Alligator mississippiensis: one gene and its partners. The protein of the gene in region 3 binds, or shares a complex with, the protein of the main gene of each other region. Links are inferred from orthologs where the notes say so. Each region holds a gene or a part of one and is shown on either strand. Other genes may lie near its edges.

The links. The genes of interacting proteins can lie anywhere in the genome.
Region 1: the proteins of TUBGCP3 (region 3) and MZT1 are in contact, whole or in part, in a cryo-EM structure (PDB 7QJD), measured with the Homo sapiens proteins. The link is inferred for Alligator mississippiensis from reciprocal best matches to the Homo sapiens genes TUBGCP3 and MZT1. Residues at the interface, in NP_006313.1 of Homo sapiens: Lys7, Pro9, Leu12, Leu13, Asn15, Leu16, Cys17, Arg19, Ile20, Leu21, Arg23, Val28, Gln31, Tyr34, Ala35, Val38, Ile39, Asn42, Phe43, Ala44, Pro45, Thr46, Ile58, Leu62, Arg67, Asp70, Phe74, Leu77, Lys80, Leu81; in NP_001065243.1 of Homo sapiens: Asn17, Ala20, Val21, Glu23, Thr24, Val27, Leu28, Glu30, Ile31, Ser32, Arg33, Ile34, Leu35, Asn36, Thr37, Leu39, Asp40, Glu42, Thr43, Ile46, Cys47, Val48, Arg49, Leu50, Cys51, Glu52, Gln53, Gly54, Ile55, Asn56.
Region 2: the proteins of TUBGCP3 (region 3) and TUBGCP6 are in contact, whole or in part, in a cryo-EM structure (PDB 6X0U), measured with the Homo sapiens proteins. The link is inferred for Alligator mississippiensis from reciprocal best matches to the Homo sapiens genes TUBGCP3 and TUBGCP6. Residues at the interface, in NP_006313.1 of Homo sapiens: Pro9, Asn10, Val11, Leu13, Gln14, Glu25, Ala26, Ala29, Gln30, Phe32, Gln33, Val36, Arg37, Ile39, Gly40, Ser41, Phe43, Thr129; in NP_065194.3 of Homo sapiens: Pro65, Arg67, Asn68, Leu71, Met72, Ser74, Phe75, Asp76, Arg78, Asp87, Glu90, Asp151.

Annotation. Positions count from the first base shown.
Region 1 is NC_081824.1:390,150,782-390,157,993, forward strand, and holds the start of MZT1 (mitotic-spindle organizing protein 1), read left to right. Parts: upstream 1-4,185; 5' UTR 4,186-4,228; coding exon 4,229-4,277; intron 4,278-7,212. Other genes in the region: BORA (protein aurora borealis), read right to left, coding at 59-165, 1,533-1,688. UniProt on the Homo sapiens protein: Required for the recruitment and the assembly of the gamma-tubulin ring complex (gTuRC) at the centrosome.
Region 2 is NC_081827.1:39,907,596-39,914,722, forward strand, and holds the start of TUBGCP6 (gamma-tubulin complex component 6), read right to left. Parts: upstream 3,028-7,127; 5' UTR 2,948-3,027; coding exon 2,189-2,947; intron 1,365-2,188; coding exon 1,201-1,364; intron 1-1,200. UniProt on the Homo sapiens protein: Component of the gamma-tubulin ring complex (gTuRC) which mediates microtubule nucleation.
Region 3 is NC_081824.1:352,502,117-352,509,924, reverse strand, and holds the start of TUBGCP3 (gamma-tubulin complex component 3), read right to left. Parts: upstream 3,028-7,808; 5' UTR 2,928-3,027; coding exon 2,852-2,927; intron 1-2,851. UniProt on the Homo sapiens protein: Component of the gamma-tubulin ring complex (gTuRC) which mediates microtubule nucleation.

The DNA of each region.
Region 1 (7,212 bases), about 38 Mb from region 3:
AACTTTCAGGTATTCAAATATGACTTCAGTTCACTAGGTAAAACAACAAGCAACATACCTAGCATGACTTAAATACATTGCTTGACGTCGAACATCTTCAGAGTCAATTTCCACAGGATTTATTAGAGCCAGCTGATCAATAGACCACCTAAATTTTCCTGGGGTCTAAGAAAAGAAGGAAGAGCATAGTGTTTACTATTCCAAGCAAAAGGAAACAAAACCCACAGATCTTTAAAAGGAACGGCACTTTCATTACCTCACTAAGATGGCAGCAATTGTTTCAATCAGTGAAAGCTAGATATTTAAACAACAAAAAAGGAGAAAGTGACTACTTACATTTTAATAATTTTATTTTTAATAACCAGTACCAATACCATAGGAAGTGAAACAACAAAGTCTATCTACTATTTTGCATTAACTGATGCTTTCCATTATCGAAGCTCTTAACAAATATGTCTCAGAGAACTACTATGAGAATACCACTATGCCCCTTTCACAGATGAGTAATGGAGATGGAAGTGGTAAATGATGTATCTAAGGGTCAGATCCGGTTCAGAAATTAGGTCCCTAAATTCAAAACTGAGATCCAGAAATACCTGTTCAGCTGCCATCTAGCCCTGTAGGAGCCTGAAGTCATTGGTGCCTAGAAAATTTTAAAGTCAAGAAGTATGTCACCTAGAGCTACATCTCCACATGTGGCACAAGATGATTCCTGTCTGAACAACTAGGGCCAAAATCATACCAAAGACCAGCTAAAATTCAAAACCTAGAAAGTCCCCTACCTAAGTCCCCTGATAGACATGAACTGTGTCTTCAGAGCACACCTAACATGCATCCGTATACAAGGCTTCATTCATACAAAAATGCAGTTATGGCTGCTTTCTTTTTAAAAAGGGAAAGAAGGTGCTAGTGGTGTCCATCTTATGTGATAGCCCAGTAGCTACAGACCTCACCAGAGACCCAGATTCAAACCTACATCAACTACCTCCCTATGGAGTTATTCAGGTAACCACTGGACTCTGCATGTTCTGTGGTAGAGACACTTCCCATCCTCCGTGTTGAAACTAGGCCACTGTATAGAAGAGAGTTCAAGCCTTAAACAAGGCCAGATAAAGCATGGAGTAGGGGGCATTATGACTATTGAGTTTAAACTTACACCCAGCCTACTTGAATCAAAATGTTGGAACAAGTGTTACTGCAGACAGCATTTCTCTAAAGAAAACCTAGCTAACCAGTATTGTTCATCTTTAACTCAACAATACTATTAGAATAGTGTCATGTACAACTAGCTGGGTTTTCTTAAAATCACTAAAACTGCAGTAACATCAAGACTTTCAAAACAGTTACACAGCACTACAAACAAACCAACCATAGTAATACTGTAAGTTTCCACAGAAGGAACTATGTTTAAATTCTTGTAAAAATATTTCAAGTTGTATTACAAATCATGTGTACTTTACGAAGTGTGAAAAATGTGTATGTGGAAGTATTGCTATTTCTTCCATATTCATGTACTAAGGATTAAATCTTACCGATGAGGCTTTCGTTGATTTAAAGACAGAAGGACTGGAAACCACGTGTTCCTGCAGACTATGGTAATCACTTGGACTTTCAAAAGGGTTCAGAACAGCAACCCGTCCTGGAGTTTCCGGTGTTATATGCATTTTAGCTTCTTTTCTATCACCCATAACACAGTACAATACCTAGAAGGAAAATAAGAAGTTATAATTTTAGATCATTCAGTACCCCATGGTTTTGCAGTAAGAAACGATCGTTTCGAGAAACATTAGCAATTCAAAATCTAGTCAGACTGAAGAGAGTACAAGAAGTTTAAATTTGGTCAGTTTTCTGATCGGTTTCAGATAAATCAGAGAAAGAGAATTAGGCCCCTGCTACATGAGACATATGTTATGCAACTAACTGGTTAATTGTGCAATAAGTGTAGACCAGCTACATGTGCAAGGTAGTTATCATGCAATTAACTGGTTAACTGCTCAATAAATTTAGGCCAGCTACAAGTACACTGTAATTATCACAGGATAATGACTCTATACCTGGTTTCTATACCTGGTTTTAATTTGAAGGTGAACCTCAGTGAATCCATCATTCAGATGCCATTTTCATTGACCCAGTACAGACCCCAAAAAAGGTTTACTAGATAAGATAGCTAAATATGCCCCAGGATATTTTGAAGAGCATCTCAACAGACATGTGGGGATTGCATCACTGGATCAATGCCAGAAAAGCAGCCATGCGTTCAGCCACTAACTAAACTCCAACTGGAAGGGCAACATGTACACGGCTATCACATGACTTTTCTGTTCCAGGACAATTACCTGCACAATTGGTCCCAGGACATACAAGATGCCTGTTCATACCCTAAGCGTGATCCTATTCCACCCAGTTTGAATTCCTGGCCAATCATCCAAACCCATACATCTTGCTTTGTAACTGCACTGATCTTAACCTTAAGACTCCATCACAAAAAAGTAGCAACAAGGAGGTGGAGAAGGATCCAATACGGTTTTAAGTTTTCCTGGGGCTTTCACAGTGGAAGAGAACCACGCCTAGGGACTGTTGAAACAGACGGAACAGCATCTGGCCTCAAGTGTCTGAAGAAACCTCTTTACTGAAAGGCTGTATATGGAAAGCATAACGGTATACAGGTACCACTCAAAACCATGCTTCTCCCAGAGAAGACAGAACCTTTTCTTGGATAAAACCTGCATCCTCCACCCCCCTCCCACCCACAAAAATGAGTTCAGGGAAAATGGGATGTGCATTATATGCAATAAATACTGATCCTCAAGACAAGTCAGTCCAGAGGCTGCTGCGACCATTGGGGTACCTCAGACCCTGTAACAACCCTCCTCCGCTCCACGCTGTGTTTGACTAGCTTTGTGCACTCTTGTCAGTTGAAGCCCCGCCCAGCCCTTGATACCGATTCCCCCAGGTCTGGAAATTTTGTGGGGGAAAGCAGTGGCTGCATTAACTAGAGTCCCAAGCCAGATGACACAGCCCTAGCATCGACTGGAGCCAGCACACAGGATTAGAGAGCAGCTTTAGCCCCGTTACCACAGACAGGGGTTGAATCCAATGAGTGCCCTTTAACCCACCACACCAGATTGGGCAGATGAGAAATATCTGGACTGGGCACATGGCCCCAGCACTGCCTTAGTTGTATGCTTATCCCGGAAAGTAAGAACTTTTTCTTCTCCCTTCAAGCTGGCCAAGAAAGTCAAGTGACACATGATGCACAGGGCCTGTGGCAGGCTAAAAAAAAGCCACACTATTGCCACTGAAACTTTATTTTTAGGAAATTAAGTGAAATATGCAACCAAACCTGGAGGGGCAGTGGGGGAGGAAAGGAGGGGGAGGGAGGGAGAAGGGACGAGGGACCCCGAGGCTCTTTCCTTCCTCCAGCTTTGCATCCGCAGAGCCCCTCGATGCGCCACTTCTGGCCTGTTCTGCGCATGCGCGGTCGTAGGGTCAGCACCTCTCAGAACCCCGATTCTCTCCTAATCCCGGCCCGCTCTGTGCATGCGCAAAGACAATATCCCCCCCCCCCCCCAAGGAAATAATCAGCCTAGGGGGGATGGGGGCTCTAGCCCGCACTAGCCCAGGAAGGCCTGTGTAGAGGGAGAGGGAAAAAAAAGATGACCCAAAAATTGAGCGATACCTGCCTCCGCCCGCGGATCCCTGTGAAACCGCCTCTGCCTGACCCCAGGCAGCTCTTTAACTGGCCCGGCCCCCACGCTCCGCCGCTACCCAATCATCGAGCGCCGCCTCACCTGCCTGACCAATCGCGTGGCAACCGCTCTCAAACAGCCCAATCGGCGCAGGGCTCGCTTCACAAATTCGAACGAGTAACCCTCCTCACGGAGGAGTAGGTGGGGTGTATTTGAAACATCATAGCGGGCCGGGCAGGGACGGAAATAGCTCCTGAGGTGTAACTGCATGCGCCGGCGAGAGGTGGGATTTTTGGGGGGGGAGAGTTGTTTTGTTTTGGGGTTTTTTTAGTTTTGTTGTTTTATATAAAAATAAATTATATTTTATCTTTTCCTCCTAACAAGGAAATATAATATATTTTCATAGAAAATATAATATATATTATATGAATAAATATATACAATTGAATGTATGTTTTATGTATTTCCCTGTTAAGAGGGGCTTCCGCTTCCGGGTTTGTGCTTCCGGGTGGCGGGTTAGGCGCACGCTGTCTGTCACCATGGCGAGTAACGCGGCCAACTTGAACGCTGTGCGGGAGACCATGGACGGTGAGTTGGGCGCGGGCGCTCGCTGCGGCGCCCGTTGGATCCACTCGTATTTGGCGTCCGAAGCGTCCGGAGCTGGACCGGCCTCAGCAGGGGTTTGCGGCAGCAGGAGGAGCAGCTCTGTTCCTTCCCCCGAGGAAACGAGCGCCGCCCTGGTTTCCCCCCCGCGCTCTCCCTCCCCGCGCGGTGGGCCTGCAGACTTTCCTCCCGTGCTTGATTTGTGCGAAAGAAATACGAGCACGGGTCAAGACGAGAACAGCCCCGCCGTTAGATGCCCAGGAGCAGTTTAGTGTTCAGCGACAGATTTCCAAAACACTGATGGGGGTAGGAGGGAAGGGCAGAGGCCAGTAACGAGTTCTCCAAGGGGCCCCTTGGCCCCCGTGTGATCCCATGGAGTGAGCCCGCAGCACTGCCCAGAGGCTGACGTGGATGAAACAAGCCTATTGGACACCCACGGTGGTGTCCTAGGCCTTGAGTCCTGGAGCAAGGGTTAGCCACTGCTAACGCAAGAGGGGTATTAGGTAGGTACCAGCTAATTACAAAGCGGGAATGGAAGTGAAGGTCAGAGGGTCATAGCTAGGGATCCTGGTTTTCTCTGATTTAAAAAGTATAAAATCTAATTTTCAGATTAAAGCAGTAACTCAAAATCCACATGTTCCTGTGGTTAAAATGAAAAGCCACTAATATATAGATATGTATCTGTAGCTTGACCAAATCCACTAGATATTAGTGGCGCTTCATTTTAATTGTGGAAAAATGTGGATTTTGGGTTACTTTTGTCTTAAACTGAAAATTGAGAATTTTTTTAATCGGAGAAAACCAGGATCTCTGTTCACAACAAATGCACCAAGAGGGGGCTGTGAGCACAGGACACTGGACAGTGCCCACTGGCCCTTGAACAAGGTGGATGAGAGGCAGGAGGATGACCTTGCAATCACTGGGGGTCCTCTGGGCCAGAACCTTCTTCCTGGTCAGGCAGATGGATGCCGGGTAAGATGGAAGTATGTAATTGACCCAGTAACTGACAGGTCTTATGAAGTGCTGTGACTCCATCACCAGGAGGCAGGAATGAGCCCACTATATCTGGACTTTTTTCTTCAGGGTCCAAATGGTGAGGGACTTGTGGCTAGGGGCATTTGCCTTTTCTGCTTTCCCTTCTGTAAACCCAAGTGCAGTGGTGCAAAGTCTGCCATGGGCTTGCCTCATTTGGGGTGGTCTGGGGGAATGGAGGGGGGGAAAGTGCTTAGATTTGCACTTTTGACTTCCTAGGGCCTGGGGAAGTATAATGAGGGGCCACAGTGGAGTAGGGAGTGCAGATTCAGCTGGTTGTTGGATAGCTTTGGTTGAACGAGCAGTGCAAAAGAGCTCAGTGATGAAAATGCCAACACAAGGGGAGACATGTCAGAGGTAATAGAGTTTGGGAGAAAGAGGTTGATGCAATGAGGAGTTAATGGAGGACTGACCAAACTGGTGTCATGGAACATTTTGTATCCACATCTAATATCACAGTGAACTGGTTCAAAAGGTACCTGGAAAATCAAGCACCACTTTTGACCTGTTCCAGGCAGCCTTATACTGTTATAACAGGCCTGTACACCTGTCTGTCTCAGATTCAAACTACATTTACACTAATCTGAGTATTCCTGGAGTCCAGACCCTGAATTTTTCTGTTCATTGTTCTGTTAAACAATGTAAATAAGCTCTTTCCACTATGTAATCAAGGTAGTGATTTTCTGTAGCTTGATCAAATCAAGTATGCTGGGTGAGCTTGAGATATTGTCTCTTTATAACTATTTTGTTTTTCAGAATCGGGTCCTATTTTGTTTTTTGCAGCACAACTTTATTGTGCCCATTTCAGTTAGTTACAAGTCGGTTTTTTTCTTTTATTTTTGTGACCAGGCACAAATGGGGCAGAATGAGGTTCACCCTTCAGTACCCAGTCTTTGTCTAGAGAATTCTTCTAATCTCTCTCTAGACATAGTGAAATAGTGGGATAATTAGATACAATAATAATGGAACCTGAAGGTACTTTAAAAAAATTGAGTAAAAATAGATGTTAGTGTTGCTCTGATGTTGTTTTTTTTTTCCTGTCAGCAGTAAGAGTTACAGGAAAATGGCTGAAGAATTTTTAGGTTCATCAACTGTGTCCATTAGTAATTTTCACATATGGAAACTGGATAGGCCTATTGAAAAGACCTTTGTAAACAATAGTTTAGGGAAGAGCTCACAATGGTGGTATAAAATATGAGAGAGAGATTGCTAAATATTCTTTCCTTCAAACTTGTTAATTAGTTTAAGAGTTAAATTTCTTGTTTGAGGGGAATAAGAAGCAACACTTCACATTTACTTGAATGAATGGGTGGCAACAGAGGGTTTCAAACACTAGTTGGGAACATAGGTCTAGAAGGGTTGATCATGTTCCATGCCCTAATATCAAAATTGATGATGTCATACAGTCACTTTCATAAACTGCCTAAGCTCCATTTTAAACCTAGTAAGAACTTCATACCCATTACTGCTGTTGGAAGGCTGTTCCAGAGCTATTTAGTTTTCATGGTTGGAGATTTTCCTCTAAATTTCCAACCTAACATTTTATTATACTTCCAGTTTCTATTCATTGGTTCTTGATTCAATGGTTATCTGATTCAACTTCTATTTTAATGTTTTACTGTTCTCAAGAAACCAAAGACACTTACTGAGTAAGAACAAATCATAAATTGAAGTACCACTTTCCTGAGCTGGGTTCCAGCGGCACTGTCAACGTGGTTCTGGAAGTCAGAGATTACCACCACTCAGCCCTTGCCTGCTCCCTGCACACATCTTTGTCTGCTAGGGAATTCTGGGTTACCATTGGCAACTGAGGTTCATGGCAGAGAGAAAATGGAGGGCAGTGCAGGGAAGGTGAGCAACAGCAGAATTCACCTTCTGGGTTCCCGAG
Region 2 (7,127 bases), on a different chromosome or scaffold from region 3:
CCGCCAGAGGATTGAGGTCAAGGCCGCAGTTAGCCAGTTTTGCCAAGAGGTGATCATGGGATACCAGATCGAAGGCTTTTTTAAAGTCGAGATATATGACATCAATCTCTTTCCCCTTGTCCAGGTGATAGGTCACCTGGTCATAAAAGGAAATGAGATTGGTCAAGCAAGACCTACCCGCAACAAACCCATGCTGGGTATCCCTCAGAATATTTCTGTCAGCTGGTCTGTTAAGGATGGCCTCTTTGATAATCTTTCCCAAGACCTTCCCCAGGATAGAGGTCAGGCCGATGGGCCTGTAGTTTGCCGGATCTACTTTCCTCCCTTTCTTGTAGATAGGCACAACATGGGCTTTCTCCAATCTTCGGGCACTTCACCAGAGCACCAGTTCTCAAAGATCCATGCCAGGGGCTGAGCTATGATGCATGCCAGCTCCTTGAGTACCCTTGGGTGTAAATCATCAGGGCTGGCTTACTTGAAGGTATCCAGCCTGTCAAGGTGTTCCTTCACAAGGTCAGCTTTGATGGAGGGTAAGGAATCTCCTTCACCAGGGTCTCCCTGTCCCGCAGTGGGCAGGGGCGTCCCATGGGACTGGTGAAAAAATGATGAAAAGTACTCATTTAGCAAGTTTGTTTTTTCCTGAATCAGTTGTCAGTTGTCCCATCTGATTTAGCAGGGGTCCAATGTTGCCCTTGCTTTTCCTCTGACTCCCCACATATCTAAAAAAGGACTTTTTATTGTCCTTGATATTTGTAGCTAGCTGGAGTTCTGTCGCAGCCTTGGCTTTCCTGATTTAGATAGGAGTGATGCAGCCATGAGCAGAGGGTTGGACTACATGACTTCCTAACATGCTTTCCAGCCCTATTTTCCTATCATTCTCTGACTTTAACTTTTTCAGTTAGAAGCAAACAATGATTATTTTAGACATAAACCATAGACATCTCCTTTTCAGCACTTCCGACAAAAATTAATTTCCCCTGTTTTGCTACTCTCATTACAAAAAGTTTAGCTGCCATCTTTGAAAGGCAGTTTATTGAAAATGTAGGACTCATCCTGTCACATTTGTTATGCAGTGTATTGAAATCTGTGTTCCTAAACAGATGACATATTTCTTACTTATGTTAAGTAAAATAACTCCCAACTAAAACACATACACAAGTAAGTTGTGTGATAACTGCATGCATAAGATCAGATACTTACTATCCAATTCTTTCCCAGCACCTTCGTTTGCTGGGTCCATATGTAAGCACTGCATCCCAAAGGTCTATGTCTGGAGTCATGCTTGGTTCTGACTGAGAATCAGGAGTCAAATTGGATGCTGACTGGAACCCCTCATCTTCAGACTGGTCTATGCTTTGTGGAACCTGCAAACAATCATGATAATTTGACTACTGCAAACATGTATGCTGCATTAATTGAGTAACATATGTTAATACAAAGGAAGTCTACTCTCATTTGCAATAAAATGATTTGATACCATCAACTGTTTTTTCCTCTTGTGATTCTATTAATGACTAATGGAAATCCCCTAAAAGTGAGTCGTTTCAGATTCAGTTACAGAAAATGAAACTGATATCTGCAACATAAATAACAAAATCCACATCAATTCATGATAATATATCTGTGCCTACAAAAGTTAAGAGTATAACTGTTAAACCAAACTACCAATACAACTAAATGAGAATTATTTCACTCTGCCTAGGAGCATATTCTCAGTTCAGACATTGTAAATGGCCAATAATCTGTAATGTTCCAGAACATGCAAGTTGTGAGGGGTCAATGCAGTCCCCAGGCTCCCACCTGGCTGTGGCTCCTCCCATCACTATAGCTGCAAGAGCAGCTGGAGTCTCCAGGCTTCAGCCTCCCACCTCCAGCTGTCACTTCCAGCCTTTGCCCCAGGACACAGGGACAGTGTAGGGAGCTGCAAGTGAGCCCATGACCACGCCATGGCCCCCCCCCCCCGCCCGGGAGGGGTGGAAGGGGGCACAGCGATAGCCAACCAAAAAAATGAAATATTTTGCAGAGAAAGATGTAAGCAGATGCTTTAAATATACATCTCTGTAACATTTATACTGCTACAAGGAAAGCTTATATTTATTAAAGATTGTTTTGAGAAGGTATATTGGAACCACTCATACACGCTGAACTAATGTACGTTTGTGTGAAAAGAAATGCTTTAGCTGCGTACTTTAATTGCAAGACCAGACAAATCTGCATTGTCAGGTACCGGCGGCAAATCCAGCTTGATGTCCATATCATATGTACGGCTATGGACGAGAGCACCAAAGAGCGAGACGCGCGTTTCCTTTTCAAACTTGTCGCCGGCAGGGTAGCTCTGCGAAAACAACCCGATGGCAGGAAGCCCTGTGCCAGGCGCCGCCTCCATGATCTGAAGAGTCTTTTGAATGGTGTCGTGGAACTGACACTCTTCGCTGGCGATGAGTGACTGAATGTCAGCTTCGAACACGCTGACATCGTAGTAGTCGTAACCCTGGTACTTGACGTTTCTCCCAACGTACTTGTTGTTGAGGAAATAGTCCTTCTTGGGGGGTAGCAGCTGGGGAGGGCCCGTCCCCGCGAGCTGCACGAGGAGGTCCAGGATGGAGTTCACCTCGGCAAAGGGCAAGGCGCCCGCTGTTTCCAGCCCCTCCACCAGCGCCTCCAGCCGGTCGGCCTGGGCGCCCAGCCCACCCACGCGCAGGTTGAAGGACAGCATCAGGACCTTGTTCTTCACGGGGAGCCGGGAGCAGGGGGGCGGCGGCTTCCGGGCCTCATCCTGGAACAGGCCGAGGCAGAGAAAGAGTCCGTTGTAGGCCGCCCGCTGAAGGCGCCGCTTGGCCGCGCGCTTGCCCACGGCGCGCCCGCCCAGCCGCGCCTCCCAAGAGCAGGCGGCCAGGTGCGCCTCGCACAGCTCCGCCAGCAGCCGCGGGAAGCTCTCCATGGCCATGCCGCCGCCCTCACCTCCCGCTGCGCAGGGCCCTCGGCGCCGTGGCCTCGGGGACCTGCCGCCCCGCGCCGGGCGATGACGTCACTGCGCCGGCGCGCCTGACTGTCGTCACGACCCTCTCCCATTCGGAGGGGCTGCAGCCCCGCGCGCGGTAGCGCTCTGATGGCGTCACTGCCGCGCGACGCGCCCGCGACCTAACCCCACCCCCCTCGGGTCTCGCTTTCTTTCCTTTCTACCCCGATTCTACAAGTTAGCAAAATCGCTTTGAATTTTAATCCCACTCTTCGAAAGGTTTGCCACCCCTTCTGATTCAGGCTCTACCCGTCACCTCCATCCATGCTTCCAGGTCATTAGCAGCCATGGTGAACCTCACCAGAGCCAGAGTATATCGTTAAACAGCCCATTTCAGACCTGCCAGTCAGGAATGGATCTGTTAATATAGTTTGTAGCTATTCAGCCAGTTGTGTATCTATCTAATGTCAACCAGAAAGGTTTTTACTTGTATAGCCATAGGCAGAAGACATGTAAAAAAGATTATTGCTATTTAAAGTAGTACTCAGAGTATCAAAGTCCATAACCATTAATATCAAGAAAGATTATGACTAGTCTTTTGTAGTCTTATGTATACACTTTGTTTTCAACGTTCAACATCTAAAAAAACTCCCTATTTAGTTGGTCTAATAAAAGATCTCACATTTACCCAAAGAACTTGTCTGCCTGTGTCCGTAGACCAACACGGCTACAACCAAAAACTCCAAAGCTTACAGAAGCTTAAGTCCCACTTACTTTCAATGGGGTTTAGGCTGTTTTTAGTGCTCTTGAAAAGATCACCTTAACTTCAATACTATCAAAATGAGAAAAGAGCTATTTAACAATACAAGTAACATTAATAGATTTTCAAATATTAGCTTTATTCGTGCTGCTTTATCATGATCAAATATTAATGTTCCAATTACAAAAATAAATAACGATCTTTACAATGGCTGGAACAAATTATATTGTTCTAGTAGTGATGTGCCTTGTTTTAAATTGTTCCTTGCATTTAATGTTTAATGTCCTGTTCATTTTCCAGTGTCAGCCAGTGGAGTGAAGAGAGAAGAACATAAAGCCCCTGGGTTTAAAGTGCTTTTAGAAGTATTTGTATTTCAATATGAGCTAGATATCAACTGTTTACATGATTCATAGCATTGTCAGAAGGATGATGGGTACAGCAGGGGGATTCATATAGTAAATGCCATACTTAACGGGGCATGTATTTAAAAGCAACAAGAGACACATGCCTAATTCTGTACCTAGGATTAATTCTCTGCCAAGACCAGTCAAAAAGCACTGCTCTGGTAGAGGATGGTTTCCTGTTGTGTAGGCGCGCCTGCTCATTAACATGCCACTGAAAACGGTAGAATGCAAGGTCAAGAGGCACATTTAACAGCACAGCAGGTGCACTCTGCCAAAACATACCTGGCATGTTTGCAAACAACAAACTAATTCCCATTTGTTGGAATTTTATTTAGCTAAATTAGTGCGTATTACAGTTGCACAGGATCACTAGGCTTCTTATTTTTATAAAAGAACCCTCTTTTTAAAAATGTATTGCATGTATTCTTTATGGTCAGGAAAAAGGTTGTTCTGAAAGCCCAGGAAAATGAAGTTCTCTACCTATAGAATATTTGCAGCACATATAGGAGCAGTGTTTCGCACTGTTGTGTTTCTAAAGGAAGATATATTAAGTCAAAGGTTGTACTTAGTCTTGACAACAGAACCAAGACATGCTACAATGGAAAATAACATGCAGTATGTAATATAATTAACACATCAATATTATCTTAGGTTGCCAAATTATCATTATTTTTAAATGACCCTGAATCCACACACACAGACTTTGCTTCAGAATTAGATTTTAGTGAGGCTTTTTGATATTGTCTCCTATGCCATTCTCATTACTAAGCTAAGGAAATGCAGACTAAATGAAAGTACTGTAAGATAGATACATAATTGCTTGAATTGTTGTGTTCAGTGCATAGTCATCAACATGGATCCGGGTTTTCCGTTTGCCATGGAAAAACGCAGTAATCTCATTTTGCAAAAAAACCCGATGTTCTCCTTTAAAGGAAAAAACATGGGAAACAGTGGGTTTCTCCTTACAGGGTGGCAGAGTTCCAGCCTGCAAGGGGCTGGGGGGAGGCGGGCGGTGAGGCAGGGGGTGCCGTGTGCATGTGCATGCATACACATGCACATGGCTGCCAGGCAGCCTGGAGAGCAGCTCCCACAGGTAAGTCTAGTGGCAGGGGGAGGGGGGGGGGCATGTATTAAAGCCCTCATAATGAGGGACAGAGGAGTCATGCAGGGCTGGGGCTGCTGCTCAGCCTGGGCCATGCATGGGGCTTGAGGCCCGGGGCTGGAATACACAGCCATAGGGCCTGACTGGGAAGCGGGACAAAGCCATGGGCAACTCATCCGGGGGGGCGGGCCTGGATCCCCGCTGCTGTATGCACTCCCAGGGGGGCCCTGGGGGGCATGTGTCCCAGATTTGTGCACAGGGTAGGGCAAGTGCAGGCTGCCCACTGCAGGCTCAGGCTCCCTGCCCTGCTCCCAAGGCCTTTGCAGCCCAGGGGGCAAAACCCAGTGCAGCAAAGTGGGGTGGGAAAGCTCATTGTCACTGCCATGAGCCCCGCACCACCATAGCGAGGAGCCCACTGCCCACCAGTCAGTGGTGAGGGTGGAGGTGCAGAGTTGTGCCCCTTGCTGCTGACGGGTAGGCAGGGAGCACCTCACTGGTGGCGTAGAGCTCCCAGCAGCAGCAACGAGCCTCCCTGCCCAGCCCCATTCTGCCCTGTTGTGGTGGGCCTTGCCTGCTGGGTTGCAGAGGCCCCAGGGCCTCTGCAGCCTGCGGGGAGCCCAAGCCCACAGACCACATCCACTCCCCTGACAGGCTCTGCTCAGGTTGTGCCACTGTGGGGGGACCCAGGGTCCATGCCCCCCTTCACGACAGCTGCAACCTCCCATGGGCAGCATTTGGGGTTTGGGCCCTGTAGCCCTGGCAGCTGGGGGCCCCTTCCAGCAGGGTTGGGGAGCAGGGGAATCTGGGTGCAGAGCGAAGGGCATCAGTGGAGATGGGGCGCTGTGGATTGGGAGTGAGGGGCACTGGCAGGGCCAGGGGGCCGTGCCGTGGTTGGGTAGTGAGGGGCACCAGCAGGACCAGGGGGCTGTGGGTTGGGAGTGAGGGGCACTAGCAGGGCTGGGGGCTGTGGCTTTGGAGAGGGGCAATGGCATGGGCAGGGCACTGGCATACCAGGGCTTCTCAGCACCACAAAGCAGTGGGGGAGATAAAACAGCTGGACTCACGTCCTGGTGAGCAAAGGGGGCCAGGGGAGCTCTGATTTGCCATGTTAAAAAACCTAAAATCAAAAGCCAAAATTTACTGGTATTTAGAATTTATTATAGTGATTGAGGGTGTAGGTTGTGTCACAACCCAAGGGTGTGATTTTTGTTTGTGTGCGCTTTGGCACCACTGAATTATTTTCCCGCCATTTGGAGCTTTCTTTGCAGGGTGCATTTCTTCTTTGCAGCACAGAAATGCACGTTGCAAGGAGTTCCCGCCATTTGTATTCTAATTCAAGCCCGGTTATTGGCTTGCATTAAATTATACACACGCGGCGGCTAGCGATTGGCTTGCTAGCCATATAAGAGGCTTGAGTGGTTTCCGCCCAAGTTGGAGGACTCCACGAACATCAGGAGGAGGAGACTTCATGTCTCGTGAAGATCTCTAAGAGCTGTGGAGCCTATTGGACCCAGTGTGAATATCAAGAAGGCAACAGGGGTCTGATCAGCCTCTCACCTCTCCCCGTCGCCGCTTGATCCCTTGACGTACCCTTCCCTGCGCGCAAGTTCCACGGAGCCTAGCAAACTTCGTGCGAGTCTATTCAAAGCTCTTTGCTTCGAGTACTTTCTTCGGTTGGCGCGACGGGCTCGCGGTTTAGAGCCTCCAACCGGATGGGCTAAAAGAATGTTCACGGGAAGGAACTCTTGTCCGCCTCTCTTCTTTTCTATCTGTAACTATAACTCAAGCAAGTTTTCCTGCCTGCACCGCGACCATCTTCGGTGTAAGTAAAATAAAATCAACCATTAAGTGTCCGTGCCTAATTTTAGCGTGTCACCTGCTTTCTCCGACCCAGCGTGCCCG
Region 3 (7,808 bases):
ATTCCTAATTCCAATGCCTCTAGCTTCAGCTTCCAGACACTGGTCCTTATTATACCTGACCCTGCCACATTAGGCACAACTCAATATTTTCCTATGGACGCACTTTGACATTATAGTCAAATCATATCTGGGTCTTTTTCATGAGCTAGCTATATCCGCTTTGCAAACAAATATGTCCACATTACTAAATGAGTGCAGAAGCCTTATCTAAACAGCTCTTAAGTATGCACACATATCCTACCCTTCCTGTGCTTAAAGTGTTTTATCTGCTTCAGTTTAATATTGATCCAAACAAATAAAACCTGAAGAGTTTTGAGGTACAAGCTAAAGATTTGTGCCTGGCTATTTTCTAGTTGTATTTAGGTGCATGTGCCTCCCAAGTCTCACATAAGGAAGAGCTAACAGAAATGCTTAACCGACGCCCGCCCCCCCACAAATCCCAAAGAGCATTTTCCCTCAGTTCTAGGGAGTTCCAGTAGGTCTGTCATTTGCAAAAAGTACCATTTTTAAATGGAAAGTTGTCCAAAGGCTACAGTGCCCACAACATTTTGTTGAGGGAGACCATTGTTTGGAAGTCTTCATTCTTATAGGCCCTTTCCTGAGGGGTCAGGAGCTGCAGGGGCAAACCTGAGCTCCCCTCCTCAGTATAATTAACTAGAAATAAATGTACACAAGATTAAAGTACCCTATCAACATCTACAAAACTCTTGCATCCTGGTTTAAGTGTACCCATTCACAAACAATGACCAAAAAAAATAAATAAAAAAAGATTATTTTCCCCCAAAGGCTGAGACCAACAAACAGAAAATAGAGCTAGGGTGCCTGGGGGAGGAGGGGTGGTGGAACTGTGACCAACATTTCCAAAATACTAGTATCAATTTTGAAAAGTAAAGAGAAGAGACCATCCTTTTTATTCTCTGACAAACTTCAGAATTTGGCAATACAACCCAACCCTGTTCCCAGGACTTCAACCTCGACTGAAATACTTCCCTTCTTTTCCATTTTAATTGGTAAAAGGGAATTATGTTGTGCCTCCTCCACAGCAGTAAGCTAAAAGTGCTCAGACTAGAAGTGTTCTTAAAAATAAAGCACACAAACCAACATACACACATTCAAGGATTTAGCTGGGAAAGTAAAAATCTAAACACAGAGTGCCACAGAGCAACAGCTCTGAAAACAGACGCAACGGCACTTAGAACTTCATATTGCCATTGCCTTAAAATTTCAAATGCTATTTTCAGAATCAGCTCTAAATAGAAAAGTTTATTGCATAAATGATATGCAATATCCAGTTTATATTTAGGAAACATACTGTTATCAACTGAAATATCAACTTTATTTTAATCAAATTATAAGCAATTTACATATGTAGTTCTGGGACCTTATTCTTCCATAAAGGATATCCAAATATCTCCAAACCGAAAGCAGTGGTGGTTACTCATATCCTGCTGCAGATGAACTATGGAGAAGAAAACTGGCCTGCAAAGGACACATGTAAAACTGACTAACAAAGACCTCACACATAAGGGCTTAACACTTTTTGGACAAAAATCTTCAGAGGGATTCTTAGTTTTCAAACACATTAATTAGAAACATGCGTTTCATTCATCTAGGAAAAACACCATGGCAACTCCAGAAGCATGGCAGTTATGATGCTTCAAAAGATTTACAAATGACCCTTTAAGTTGGACAGAATCTTCAGGAAAACCTGTTGATCATTTTTATTTTGTGAAGAGGGAGAGGGAGGGGGTTGGTCTTATGTTTTGTTTTGGGGTTTGTTTGTTTTTAAATACATCTTTATCCCTCATTCTCAACACTTCAGCGAAGGTGAGAAAATTCAAACTTCTCCTAGACTTCTCTCAAAAACCCTCCAAGCAAAAATTACGCTAGGTGACACCTGACATTCCCAGTACTTAAAGAAAGTACAGCAACTTAAAAAATGCCACCAGTGCACACACAAGCACAAGTATGTGCATAAGCCCCTTTCAGACCGCACATAACTATCAACGAGCGTAACCCTTTGGGCATCACCCTTTAGTCAGAGCAAGCTAACGAAGAAGTCAACCAGAGCAGGTCAGGATCTCATATAACAAACCTAGGAAGAATGATGCCTCCAGAAACACAGGGGAGGTAATACAGCAAACATCCTATCTGTTGAGATGGGTGCACGCAGATTCCTCTCCGCTCAGGTAAGGTTGTATCATCAGGGTACCACCCCGGCAGCAAACAAGTGATTTTGGCTGAAGTCCCCCAGGCAAAGGCAGGAGGGAGGAGGAAAGATGGACAAAGCATCTCCAGTCACAGACAACTTATTAACAGCCCAGCAGCCTCGCCCAGGGCACCCACCGGGTGGAACCTGGCGGCTGGTTTCATTCTGCTGCTGCTCAGAGCCTGAAGGCAGTGCAGAGCTGCCCCAGAGCTGGCAAGTGCCCTTCCCCTGCAGGAGCCAGCCAAGGGCAGGTGTGTGCAAGGGGGTACCCAGCCTACCCCTGCACACGGTAGGAGAGAAAAGCAGGGCAGGGCCTTCCCCAGGCAAAAAACAAACAAACACTTCCCACTCTGCCCTGGGCCCACCCGGCTGCCTGCACGTAGCAGGAGCAAGAGAACCCTGCAGGCCCGGCTTGTGCAGGGGGGACCCGCACCTGTGCTGTGCTACCGCCCTCTCTCACCCTCCCGGCAGGGCAGAGCCTCCAACAAGGCCCGGCCACCCCCGCAAGGGCCCAGGGTCACGGGCAAGCTCAGCCCACTGCCCGGGGGCACTGTCCACCCTCCCCACGGTGCAAGGGGCTTGTCCGGCTCACGAAGGCAGAGCGTGGCAGGATCCGCGCGGGGGAAGGGGGACAGCCGTTACCCTCGCTCTTGCCCAGGATGCGACAGCAGAGGTTTTGCAGCAGGACGTTGGGCGACTTCTGATCCGGCCCCGCCATCCTCGCCGCACCAGCGACTGCCCCCACGCGTGTAAGCACAACACCTCACACCCCGCCGCCGCCCGTTACCTAGGGCGCCATTTTAACACGGCCCGCCCAAAGCAGCGAGCGCCCACAATGCCCCTGCGCGCAGCCCCAAACGCCTTCCCCCGCGCCGCGCGCACCCGCGTCGGAGGTTCCGCCCCCCCAGCGGGCCCCCGCCAGCCAGCCCTCACCTGCCCTCAGGGCCGGGCCGGGGTCCCTCCGCGCCCCGCTCACGCCCCGGCCCGGCTCGGGCCGGCGCGCTTCCCGCTGCGGCTCCTTGCGAGAAGCGCCCGAGGTGGCCCCAGCCTCGTGTCCTCCGCGCCGCCGCCCGCCAAGGGAATGCAGAAATCTACAAGTCGTGGTTCAGAAACGATACCTTTTATTAGACCAACTGGGAAATCGCAACAACAGCCCCCCGCCCCATTTTCTACAAGCTTTCGGGCTCAAAGGCCCTTCATCAGGCATTGGAAAAATTAAAGATGTTAAAAAGTCCCCGGAGGTAGGAAATCATCTTTATTTTTTGCACAGAAGGAGCTGGACAGGGAAATCCTGGCCCTCTGGGTCCATGAGAGTGTCTCTGAGTTGTTCCTCCCACCCAGGGCCGTTCCTCGGCTGGGTGAATCAGGACAATTGCCCCAAGTCCTGCGCTTTGGGGGGGCCCAGCGGACAGTGCCGTACAGCCCCCGCTGTACACCACCGGCTTTGCACTGCAGCTGTGTGCCACCCCTACACCCCTCCGGCTCCATGCTCTGCCGTTGGCTATCCCCTGGCCCCGCACGGGCTGATATGCCCCAGGTCCTGCACACCCCTAGGGATAGCTGTGCTCCCACCAATACCTCCCACCAATAAACCTTTTCCCCACACTAAACAAGGAGCCAGGCTGCAGAAATGGCCTCCTGCACCAGCTTCTACCTCCAGATACACACTCTCTTATGGGAGGTTTTCAGGGCCTATAATAAGAGCAATATGAAGGAGAGCAGTGCCAGGGAGACTTGGGTCCACCTCTTATGCCCCCTCTCCAGTGCTTCAGCACCTAAATGCAACCCTTCTGCTCTGCTTGAGTCCCAGGAGATCCTTCCTGCTGTCTTTTGTGATATGGGCCAACCACTAAGCCACCAGCTGTTGCTGCTACAATGTGGCAGTGTTACCTCTGTTTCAGGGGTCAGGCTGGATGGAATGGGATGGCAGTTGCAGGGAAGAGAAAGAGACCCCAGGAGAAGATACAATAGGATCTTTCATCATCACGCAGTGGACTGTGATAGCCACCACCTTGACCAACACATGGCCTGTGGGTGACTTTAATGTGGGGAAGCTGGAACATGGAAATAGCACCCATACAATCTTGACAAGGTGGCAATCCAGACCCAATAACAAGGGAGAACTGTAGACAACAGGAGAACTCCCTCTTGCTGCAGTCTTCTTCCGCCTTTACAGCTGCTGAGATCCTAACATCTTCTATCTGCTCTGTCATTGAGGACTAGGGGTTGGACGGTAGTGTGTCTGGGATCTCCCCTCAAGCCTGTTTGCCATGGGTGACTGCCAGCAGCGTGAGACTTCAGACAATATCGCTCTGAGGCTCACTGGGGCACGCAAGCCTCTCCACCACTACAAGGTTTCTTGCCACAGAGGGGCTTGGCCAACATACCAGGGCCCTAAAAGCATGAGTTTCTACTACAGCTAAGGAGTCAGGCTTCCTAGCTGAGGACTGTAACATACCTACATCCTTTGTGGACAGAATACAGACATGGGACATGTAACACCCATTGACAAGGAGGTAACACATTTATACATTTAAAAGTATGACTTGTGTGCATCAATGGTTAAACAAACTAGTAGCTCAACCTCAAAACCCTTACCCAAAGGAGCAGTCTTAACTGAAGAGCTACTAGCAATTTTTTTATTTAGGTTGTCTAATACTTTTCACTGTGAAAGATTCTTGTGACTTATTTTTTAATACCTCCACACTTGGCAGCAGGCCATTGAAATTCAGCATGGGATAATCCTCAAGAAAGAGAAATACATTTCCTTATTTCCATGAAAAGTCTCTTGAATTTTATGTAGGTTTAGTTAAGTTATAAAACTATTAAAAATTGTAGTAGTGTTGGAGTGTAGTTGTAGCCATAATGGTCCAGCGAGAGGGAAGGGGGTTTTGTGATATCTTTATTTGGCCAAATATATAGTAGGCACAGATGTTGGACAAGCTTTGGGGCACAAAATGCCCTGCCATTTTACAGCCGTATTCCTGGGGGAAAATAATAATTGAATCTCAATATTATGAACAAAAGGTTACGCCCAGATCATCAATGCAGTAGTACTCACTGTAGCAGTGGTAGGAAACTGGTCTGGAATAGGCCTTCCTTGCTGACACAGTAAGTGTGGTACACAGGCTCCACAATCTGTTCTCTCCTCTCAGAAGAGCAAAAGGTCCCCCAACATTAGGCTTCAGAAAGAGGCAAGCAGATAAGAGAGAGCCCTGACTAACTCCTGTAACCAATTCCTGAAGTTAGCACATGGTACCAGTAGTACCCTTACTTTTATTTTTGCTCCAGGATAGCTACCAGCTAATAGTGAGACAGTGCAATGCTACAGAAGGTTCAGAGTCCAGTCCCTGATAATGATCCATATGTTGAGATGTTACAAGTTTTCATAACAAAATTCATTTTTACTTTTTTCCCTTTAAAAATAGGAAATTATCTTTAGTTTTAATTATATAACATTAAAAGAAAATTATTTAGGTCAAAGTCAAGAAGTACCACTGTTATAGTCACTTGTGCAACTTAGTATGTTCTCCTTGGCATATTTATTCACATAATTTTTAATTACATGATCACATGCTATTTTTTCCAGAAGGCATAAGTTAGATGCACAAGAGGGTAGAATATGTTACATGGATAACCAAACATTTGGCATTTACTTGCTTAAAGGAGTTGATGTTGTAAGTTTTTTGTATTATTAAAGTACATCTAGAGGACCCAATCAGGGATCCAAGTTAGGCAGCATGCAGACATAACAAGGAAGGTCTGTCTGCATGACTGCTTTTATACACGTTTCAACAGAGGCAAGATTTCATAGACATTAGGGCTGGAGGGGACCTTGGAAGATCATCGAGTCCAGCCCCCTGCCCCAGGGGCAGGAAGTCAGCTTGTAGCAAAACTCCCAATTTTTTTTTTTTTAAATGCATTGTCTCCCCTTTCCCCAACCATTTCTGACTCTGTCTCTCCCTCTCTATTCTCTATAGATAAGTAAAAGTGAGCTAAGACATAGGATAAGCTTCAGCATTTTATTTTGGGAGAAAGTTGTATTTGTTTTGTTTTCTCTCCTTATTTATATTGTATAATTATTATGTTTATATTGATTTTTACTGATCTATATTACTGTTTTACTGGTACTATATGATTTAGGCCTACATTTGTAAGTTAGCATAAGTCATGTCAAATTTCCATTTTGTTTGTCAAGTCTCCATCCTGTCCCCAGGCCTGGTTGTGTAACCTATGACTCACACCTACCCCTTCTATGTAACTTGGTTCCTAAATGAGGGTGCTTGAGAGACAATGACAGTAGGTTTAAAAATAGCTCCCTCTAAATGACCAAACCATCAACACCAATACCTGGACCAATGACCCAGCCATTGGAACCACCCTCAGCATTCAAGAAACAAAAGATGAGGCAACCCACCATTGTGCCAAGGCTGCACATGCTCAATAAGAACACCTAGAACCCTCTGGAACAGGACTGACATTGCCTGGACAGGCCCTCCCATAGGAGATCAGTGTATATGTACTGAGTGTGTGGGTATTGACAATTGATTTTTGTCTAATTTTAGTGTGTATGTGCTTGACTTGGTGATAAGTATGCATGTGCCTAGGCTGGTTTGGATGTGTATGTGCCTGAGCTGGTAGTGTGTATGTGTGTGTGTATGCACTTAATTGATTTGTGTGTTTGTATATGTGCAATTGTGTCACACCCTCCTGTGTAACAGCACAATGTTGAGATCCTGAGATATGGCCTGACCCCACAGGGCAACAAGCTGGGGTCATAGGATCCCAGCAAGAAAAACATCCAGGTTTCTCTTGAAGGCGTTCAAAGTAGGTGCTTGAACCACCTCCGGCGGCAGGCTATTCCAGACCCTGGGGGCTCGGACAGTAAACAAGTTCTTCCTTATGTCCAGCCTGAAATGGTCTTGCAGGAGTTTATAACCATTCAACCTTGTCATCTCTTGGGGCATTCTGGTGAACAAATGTTCCCCCAGATCCTCGTGAACACCCCTTATAAACTTATAGGTGACCATCAGATGGCCCCTGAGCCTGCGCTTTTCCAGGCTGAAGAGTCCCATAGCTCTCAGCCTTTCATCAGAAGGTCTGTTTTCCTGACCTCTGATCATGTGTGTGGCTCTCCTCTGGACTCTCTCAAGCTTCTCCACATCCTGTTTGAATTGTGGAGCCCAAAACTGGACGCAGTACTCCAGCTGCAGCCTCACCAAGGCCAAGTACAATGGGAGAATGACGTCCTGGGATTTGCTTAAGAAGCATCTATGGATGCAAGCCAAGGTTTTGCTTGCTTTACTAGCTGCAGCATCACATTGAAGGCTCATGTTCATCTTGTGGTCAATCCTGACCCCCAAGTCTCTCTCATCTGTAGTGCTAGTCAGTGTAGCACTGCCGAACCTATAGACATGCTGCAGGTTTTTCCTCCCAAGGTGGAGAACCTTGCATTTTTCAGTGTTAAACACCATCAGATTCTTGTCCACCCATTTCCTGAGTCTGTCAAGGTCAGCCTGGATTGCCCCCCTGTCCTCAGGTGTGGATGTTTTACCCCAAAGTTTGGTATCATCGGCAAACTTGGCCAGTCCACTTCTGA